Linked DNA regions of Oryzias latipes. The protein of the gene in region 1 purifies or fractionates together with the protein of each later gene. This does not show direct contact. Links are inferred from orthologs where the notes say so. Each region holds a gene or a part of one and is shown on either strand. Other genes may lie near its edges.

Evidence for each region.
Region 2: the proteins of flii (region 1) and lrrfip2 purify together in Homo sapiens (affinity purification with mass spectrometry; 3 studies listed by BioGRID and IntAct, with this or other methods). This does not show direct contact. The link is inferred for Oryzias latipes from reciprocal best matches to the Homo sapiens genes FLII and LRRFIP2.

The regions. Positions count from the first base shown.
Region 1 is NC_019866.2:18,081,488-18,085,826, reverse strand, and holds the start of flii (protein flightless-1 homolog), read left to right. Parts: upstream 1-1,497; 5' UTR 1,498-1,542; coding exon 1,543-1,605; intron 1,606-3,021; coding exon 3,022-3,132; intron 3,133-4,339. UniProt on the Homo sapiens protein: Is a regulator of actin polymerization, required for proper myofibril organization and regulation of the length of sarcomeric thin filaments. It also plays a role in the assembly of cardiomyocyte cell adhesion complexes.
Region 2 is NC_019873.2:29,719,851-29,723,994, forward strand, and holds the start of lrrfip2 (leucine-rich repeat flightless-interacting protein 2), read left to right. Parts: upstream 1-1,330; 5' UTR 1,331-1,533; intron 1,534-2,705; 5' UTR 2,706-2,739; coding exon 2,740-2,829; intron 2,830-4,144. UniProt on the Homo sapiens protein: May function as activator of the canonical Wnt signaling pathway, in association with DVL3, upstream of CTNNB1/beta-catenin.

The sequences.
Region 1 (4,339 bases):
ATCCATGAACACCAGTGAAGATCACAAATCATTGAAGAAAATAGGTTCAGCGCCCTGTCTAGTGGGTCTAGATGACCCAACTCCAAAGGTTAAAGTGACTAGGATAGCACAAGGGTTAATACCTCAAGCTTTCATACATTCATGATGTCTCAATTTTTTAAAAAGATTTCCTCAAGATATTTGTGACTAAATGAAGCTCCTAGAAATAAGGCAAAAATGTTGAAATAAAAATAAATATAATCGATACAAAGTTTAGAAATGACTTAATGATAAAAAAAACATGAGAACAAAGGTAACCACAGAGGACAAAACATGGCACTGTATTAATATTTCTCAGACTAAAAAACGAGAATTTTATAATATTACAATATTTAACTCATACTTAGTTTTACTGTGGGAATAATCATGTACTTATTTTTCATTTATCTGCTTTACTTTGCTAGTTTAGTAGCTTCAGTATATATATGTAGCCATTTATGACTTTGGTGGCTACCTGCAACACTGGATAAAACCAAAAATTCTGTTCCTGGATTCTATTTCCAGAGATTATGTGACATTTGGAATCCTTCTGCCAAATACATAAGATCTCTGTTGTGATTTAGTCCTCTGCTTAACAATTTTTTACTATGGAAAAGAAGAGTGCTGAAAAGAAACTTCATTTTCAAATGTTTTTTTTGTTAAACTGGAAATGTGTATAAAATCATTAAAATATATCAAAATACAAATGTGTGAAAACGTATGGGAAATGTCAACAGAATTTCCAAATTCTGTGAATTTAGATATGTGGGGAATGTATACGTGTAGTGATATTTTCTTGTTAGTATGACACTAATGATTACCATAACAATATGTTCTTTAGCTTTTCTCGACTATTTGCTTGATTTAATTTTATTTTCCTTTTAAATTGGAACAGTTTTTAAAATGTTATTAAAGATTAAATTTTACAAGATGTAACCTTAAAAAAGCTCTGCAGTACTAAATTTGGGTTTACTTTGTGTTACCACTATTTGTTGCATTTGTTCTTTCTAGCTGCATTCACTTTATTTATTTGTTTGTTTGTTTTACCATATGTTAAGCTATTATTGTCATGTTTAAGGAAGATGATTTGGAGAATCAGGAATAAAGGGCCGAAACAAATCGGACTTTAATCTTAGAATTTTGAATTTAATCACAGAATTCTGATGGTCTGGTGGTCAGAATTCTGACTTTGATCTAGGAATTCTGAGAAAAAAGTCAGAATTCTAAAAGATTTAAGTCAGATTTATGCTCCTTGGCCCTTTATTTTATTATTATTATTATGACCCGCGGCAGCAGTAATTATTATTTATTTATGACTTATTTTCTATGGCTGTGATCTTTCTGCGTACAACTTTGTGGCTGCAATCAAGTGTGACCTTATAACGACAACGGGGAAAGGGGAGCTCTCCAAATAAACAAAATGCATTTCCTCTCGAGCCAGAAGGGGGCGGTAACAAATCTACAGTCTCTCCCTCCCGACCCAAAATAGTAGAGGTTTGAGCAGTTGACATCAGCGAGTCAGAAATGGCTGCCACCGGAGTTCTTCCCTTCATAAGGGGAGTAGACCTCAGTGGAAATGACTTCAAAGTAAGATTCTTTAAAACTACACTCGCATTATTTATAACTCTAATTTTAGTCATATTAAATGAATCCTAGGCTAAGCTAGTTCCTGTATGAGAATTGTTCACCTATACTATAGCAGGGAAAGTAGCTAAGACACTAGCATAGCTTAACATGATTGCGAACATTGGTTGGGCGTTAGCCTCTTGTTAGAAAAAACACTCCCGTGTGTGTCAGACACCACCCTTTGAGCAGTATGCGGAATTGTATTTAAGGCAGGTATGTTTGTTTAAACAATAAAATAAGAGCCGTAACTCTACAGGAAAACAGTTTTGAGTTGCTAGGGTAGGGCTACAGCACTTGCCACTCATCATCATACATATCACTACTACTCTGCTTGTTTAGTTAGCGTACTTTTGGCTAAGTGTATTATTGCTTAAGACATTCACTTTTGATCTAAATTGTTCAAATGTTTGGGATTAATTTAGAATCTTTTGTTAAAGGTGAATGTTGGCGCTTGTTGGGTTGTTTTGTTAACCCGGTGTTGACATGGCTTTAGTTAGTAAGTTCTGGTTTTCATCGAGTTAGTTTAAGTTAATTTAAACACAGGGGAATTGATCACCTCACCGAACTTTAGACCCGTCACACTCACAGCAGGTTAAGTTTGTATCCAAGCCCCGTTTAGGTTGATTATTATGGGATTGCAACACTGTTGTCAACAGTGTAAACTCAAGTTGTTGCTGTCAATCAGTGATCCTGGACTTAAAAAGAAATACTGAAATGGCAGGCGTTTACTGTTGTCACAAGGAAGACTTAATATTTCCATTTTTATTTAACTCAGTTGGATAATAATAAAAGTTTGACATCATGCTAACTTTTTTTTGAGCCTGACTCACCAGATTCTAAAGGAGTATTGGAACACGTCCGAATTTGCTGGCGAATAATCTTTTTGATGTGTTGTTTTTATTTACCTTTCGGCATATCCCTGCAGGACTCGCCAAAGAAATTCCGCTTTCATTTATTCCCTTCCTGACAGAACCCTCTATTTTAACCGGGCTATGGACTGGCACAGGGAGACCCAGACTTGGGCCCCTTTGTGGCTGCATAGTTAAGGAGCCGCGTTAAGGGTCTTGTCCAAGGACCCACACTGGATGAAACTCATCGCGATCCCTGGTTTCCCATGCGCCAGTCCTACGCGCAGCCAACCGAACCATCCAACCGCTAACTTTTTATTGTGTTAATTTGTTAAATTCAAGGCATTTGTCTGTCTGTAATGTTAGGAAATCCAGATGTCAGCATGTGTCATGCAGCTTCTGTGAAAACACTGCCAATTTTTATCTATCCATCTGTCCGTCCGTCCGTCTCAATGGAGTTATCAGATGTGTGTAAATCTGGAATGATTTTGTTGTGTTGGCAAACAAGTTTCTTTGCCTATCTCCACAGGGGGGTTATTTTCCTGAGCATGTAAAGTGTATGAGCAGCTTACGATGGCTGAAACTGAACCGGACAGGACTTTGTTATCTTCCAGAGGAGCTGGCTTCTCTCCAAAAGTTGGTAAGAAGATTCAAAAGGCTTTTGATGCTCCTCTGAAGTTTTTTTTCTGACCTGTTCAAGCCTCTCACATGTGTGCAGCTGGCAGTGGACTTTCTGTCAATATAAAAAAAGTGTTTTCTTTACACGGTTCGCTGCATATAGCTGATGATCATAGAAATGAAATTTACATTGTGTGAAATCTGAGCTTTAATTTGTCATCTAATGACTCTAATCTGCATTTTAAGAGTAAATTTACACCATATATTTATTAATTTACTTCTGAGGGATTCACATTTCGATAAAGTGCTTTTATTGAGAATGTTTAGAACTATATGTTGTTGATGTAAATTCACTGGATGCTTCATCCACATAGCAGTGAGTCTGGACACGGTGGGACAGTTGTCACACCCCAACAACACCCCAGCGTACAATCTTAAAGACTTAAAGACTGACTCCAATGAAAATTGTGTTTTTAACATGTTCCTGTGGCCATTTTTCATAAAGGATGAGGACATATTAAGAAAATTAGTATCAAAACTGCATTTCTGAGTATTTCTTTATTCACATCGTCATGAATTAGGAGCAGACGAAAAAATGGCATTTGAAGATTGTATTTGTGACGTACAAAAAATATGCAGGGTGGGCCACAAGCTCCCTGCTCTGCTCCATTCTGTTGTATCCACTTGTAGACAAAGAGATCCATCTTTTCCTTGTCCGTGATTATCATAATTGTAAGACGACTGGGAAAAATAGATCACAAGAAGATTGGAGTGGGACTTGAGGCAACTGACTGCAACTAAATGCCGTAATTATTAAGAAATGGCCCGCAACTAGCTCCCTAGCAGAGCGTCAAAGCCCACAGACACAGACGATCTCTGTTGTAATAAATAAGCAACTGTTGTGTTGAAGGGCTTCAAGGCTTTAAAATACATAAACATGACAAAGAAGCCCTTCTAGCTGCCCCAACAGGTACTTAATGTCAACCCATATTAGAAGTTCCCATTAGAATTGCTACTGATAACAACTTCTTTCTAAAATCATTGTAGTTTAGTGTATGACAGCTGTATAACCGGCACATTATATATTTGTCTCAAAGTGGTTTTAAATTGTAATTTGTGATTTTACTCTTAGTGATTACGTTTTGTTGTTGTTTTAATTTGTATTTTTCAGTAAAGATATTTGAATTACTTTGTCTATGAATTGTGTCACAAAAATATGAACTTGTTAA
Region 2 (4,144 bases), on another chromosome or scaffold:
AAAGGCGAGCAGACTACAAAAGCCTTCAAAGGACAGTTTCACTGCAAAAATGCTCTTTTTTGAAATCTTTGAGTAAATTCATGTTCAGAAATCCCCCTGAAGAAAAAAACTGCAGGGATGGAATCATGAAAACAAACAAAAATTGGTCCAGAGGTTAGAAAAATGTCATTTGTATATATATTAACAGAGAACCCATGTTACATTGTTTATACATACTTTTCATTAAGTTTACCATTCTGAATAAATAGCTGTATTTATTCAGAAATACTTATATGAGACATACTACATAACATAAAAGGAACCATAGGATTGCATTTAGAAAACGTTTAAATCCTATAGTTAAGTCCTGCAGACTCACATCTGAGTTTCTCACCTTTTAATATTTTCCTGGAGCCTGCCTCAGCGCGAGGTTGATACGTTTGGTTTTTTACAGAATGATCCATCTTATATGTTAGAATTTAACACATCAGAACGTACGTAAACACATGAATCAGGAATTGGACTTTGCTGTATTTTTGTTTCCAGTAAATTGAAAATGACTGAAATTTAAAGGTTTAGTTGATCAAAGTATTTAAGAATTCATGAATGAAGCAATTGTCTGCCGCACCACAAAATCACAAGAACGAAGTGTTTCAATTTAAGGAGACATGATATGAAACAGTGGAGAGGAATCGGTTAAAGAAACCAAATCACAAATCACCTTTAAATAACTTGTTAAAAGAGCATGCTTCAAAAATACTGTCAACTTTCAAATGTGTTTGCTTTGTCCAAAGAATAAAAAAAGGGGCAAAAAAAAAGTTTTGTTCTTTCTGTTCATTTTCCTTTCTCTTTTTGAAGGTCTTGTGAAAATTATTTTGTTTTTCTTGTTTTATGAAATTGAAAAGAAAAAAAATAAAATCAGCCAAACAAAGGCTAAAATTATTACACCACATTTATAACAACAAAGCCATTTATAAACAATGTCAGAAAGGCAGTTACATTAGAAAATGTTTGTCCACAGTGAATTCTGGAAACGCAGAAAATAGAAATTATAATATAATTAGTTATAATCCTTAAGAAAAATGTATTGGGTAGTTGTTTGTGATGTTGGGTATTTGTAGACCCGTATACTTCATTAAAATGTCATTTCTTTAATAAGTAAAACGCCGATGATAAAACACATTAGCATCAAAAGTTCTGTTAAAAAGATTATGGTTTTAAAATCGACTTTTCCCTAAAAAGTACAGAGAAAAGTTGCTGCTCTGGTTCGTTTTCTCATTAAATTGATCAAAGGACTGTGCATCGAAATTCCGGATGGTCCGTGAACACAGCAACACACCCTAATTTTTTTTCCAACATCCGGGACTTCCCGACCGAAGGAGCGTGTGGAGTGGGTAAGGAGGGCAGCCGCGAGCGCTGGAAAGAAAGGCGGACTGATGACAGCTGTCAATGTGGACGAAAAATACCGCTAGCGCACGAAGACTCGGCAAATGGGTTTCCTCTGAACCACCGGTGGACGACAGTTGGGCTGTACCGGTCATCTTTAACGTAAAGGTAACGTTTGGGGTGGAAAACTGGACGGCGGGCTCAGTCCCAGTTGCCTTGTCTGTCAGGAGAGTGGAGGTTAGCCTGGCTAGCTATGCTAGCTCACACACAGCAGACATGAACGGTCAAACTAGGCTTTACGGTTAAAGCTATCGGTCAGTGTCGGTGACATTCATGACCGCAGGGAACGTCTAGACACAGTTTCTATACTAGAACGCGGTAGAATTTAGTCCCGGTACGTTAAACGGATAAACTTTTGAATCGGAATTCCATAATAAGAAGTGCTAGCTAGCGAGTTAGCTTAGCAAGTAGCTGGCTCTTCACAGTAACTGTGAAGGCAGCTAAATGTAGCCAGAAAACACAAGCCACGGTGCGGGGTTTTTTTTACTCTGTGACGTAGATGGAAGTACAGTTTTTTTAATTCAGTATTGTCCTTGTGATTTAAACATGAGGGTATAGAGGCAGCTTTGTTGGAGTGTGTGAGGAGGTGTGCGCCTCCCCGCTGTGTGTGTCGCTTCCATAGACCCACTAGTTTGGTTCAACAGTTGGGACAGAAATTCTGCTTTTCTTAGGTTTGGATCGCTCACTTGAAACCATTTTCACAGGGTTTACATCACACATCTGCATGATGTATTAAAGCTCAGATTTTTGACTCATCCGGGTGACTCTACCCCCCCCCCCCCCCCCCCCCATGATGTCTTCAGCTGTTTATTTGAAGTCGTCTAAAACACATTTCATCACGAGCTCTGCTGAAATACCTGCTGATCATTTCAGGCGTGACGGGTCTTAATGAACAAAGCCCAGCTTTAGTTTGATGTTCTGAGCTTCAGCAGCTCCTGGTGTTCCTCCAAGGCTGCTTCATGTCAGCCACAGCTGCTTATCAGACTCCGATGGGCTCCACACTCCAGGGACCGTCATGTTCCTGCAGGGAATGACGCCGTGTCAGCTCACCGGTTGCTTTCTTTGCTGACTCATGGGAAAATGGGGATCAAAATGATATTAAATGAGGTGTTTAAAGCAAAAGCACATCTTTCTATGGTTCCCTCGCCTGTGCGTAAAGCATACTCTAATGTTTAGGCATCCTATCCAACCTGTTGAATGAGTTTTTAATTCCCTGTCTGCATTCATCGTGAAGTATATTCAGTATAGGATAATGACACACAGCCTGGTCTCTTTTCCAGCCTTACACATATTTGTTGAAGCTTGAGGAACATCATGGGGACACAAGGCCCTGGGAGGAAACGCGCCCCTCTGAAAGACCGCTTCTCAGCAGAGGAAGAAGCTCTGAGTAGTATCGCTCGAGAGGTGAGTTATTCAGTCCCATTTAAAGCGTCAAACCTGCAATAGGTCTGCTGGCATTTTTGCTTTGTTGAATCAATACTAATGGGATTTCTGCAGCTTAAATGTTCTTCTTTAACCCTATCATGACGGCTGTGAGAGGCTTTCAGAGACTGATCGTGGAAGCACATTTGCGTTTTTATGTTTAGCAAATTCTGCATTTTACAATCACTATATAGATATTTGGGACTTTTCTGTGGAGAATAGAAACAATTACAGCTCAAGGTATCATGAAAACTCCTGACACCTTCAGTTATAAGCTTTTCTATGTTTTTTAAAACATTAAAACATAATTATTTTGCTTCTTCAGCTCAGTTTTACATGGAGGTAAAACACAAACCAGCTAAATGCCCCAGAAAAGGTCCATGTTTTCCTGTTTCTTTATTAGCCTCAGATAAGTTCACTGTGGAAGCCAGTTGTTGCTGTGATAACAAAATTTGACATGATGCTTTTTTATGTATGTATTGGCTGTTTGAGTAATGATTGATTAGACCTAATAGTGCAGCATTTTTCCCTCTCTGTGTGGCGTGTCCCCAATGTCGGCGTGTTGCTGCAGCGCAGACGTGGAAGCATGCAGAACCGTGTGGATGTGGTCAAAGCTGCAGTGTGACGCGCTCTTTCACGTGTGGGAACACAGGTTTTACCAGTTAGCTTTTGTTGTGACCAAAGCCATCGGAGACGGCTGGTTTGGACTGCAGAGGTTGAAATGTTTTTGTTCGGGAAGGAGAGAAGACAGGCTGAAGACGGAGGCTGGCTGGCTTGTGAGGACATGCCCTCAGATGATTCCATTTTGCCTTTCTGCAGGTCTTCCATTCCTTTGGGTTTTCCAGAGCGGGGCAACTGAAACAGAAAAACCTGAGTTCTTTTCTCCAGGCCTGAACTTTGTACAGTGGTTTGGTTTTTGCATTTAAAAGCAGCGATTGCCTGATAAGAATCCAATCTGTTCCTTTCAGAGAACATGGGATTGTGTTGGAAAGCTGCACAGAGCGCCTCATTCTTCAGCAGAACATGAACGGCTCCGTTTGCTCTCTTTATAGTCATGCAGGCTGATCATAGAAACATGAGTCATCTGACCCTCACAGGCAGCTCCTAAAGCTGAATCTCTTTGTGGAGCAAAGATTAGATTAACAGGGAGTTTGGGGGGGGGTCAGTGTAACCTGCATACCCTTCCAGCCCAGATGCATCTTGGTCACACTTGAGCGTTTGTTTCGTGGTTTGAAGTAAGGAGAAAAAGGTGCTTGGCTCCAACATCTGAGACCAAATGGGAGTTTCAGCCTGACTC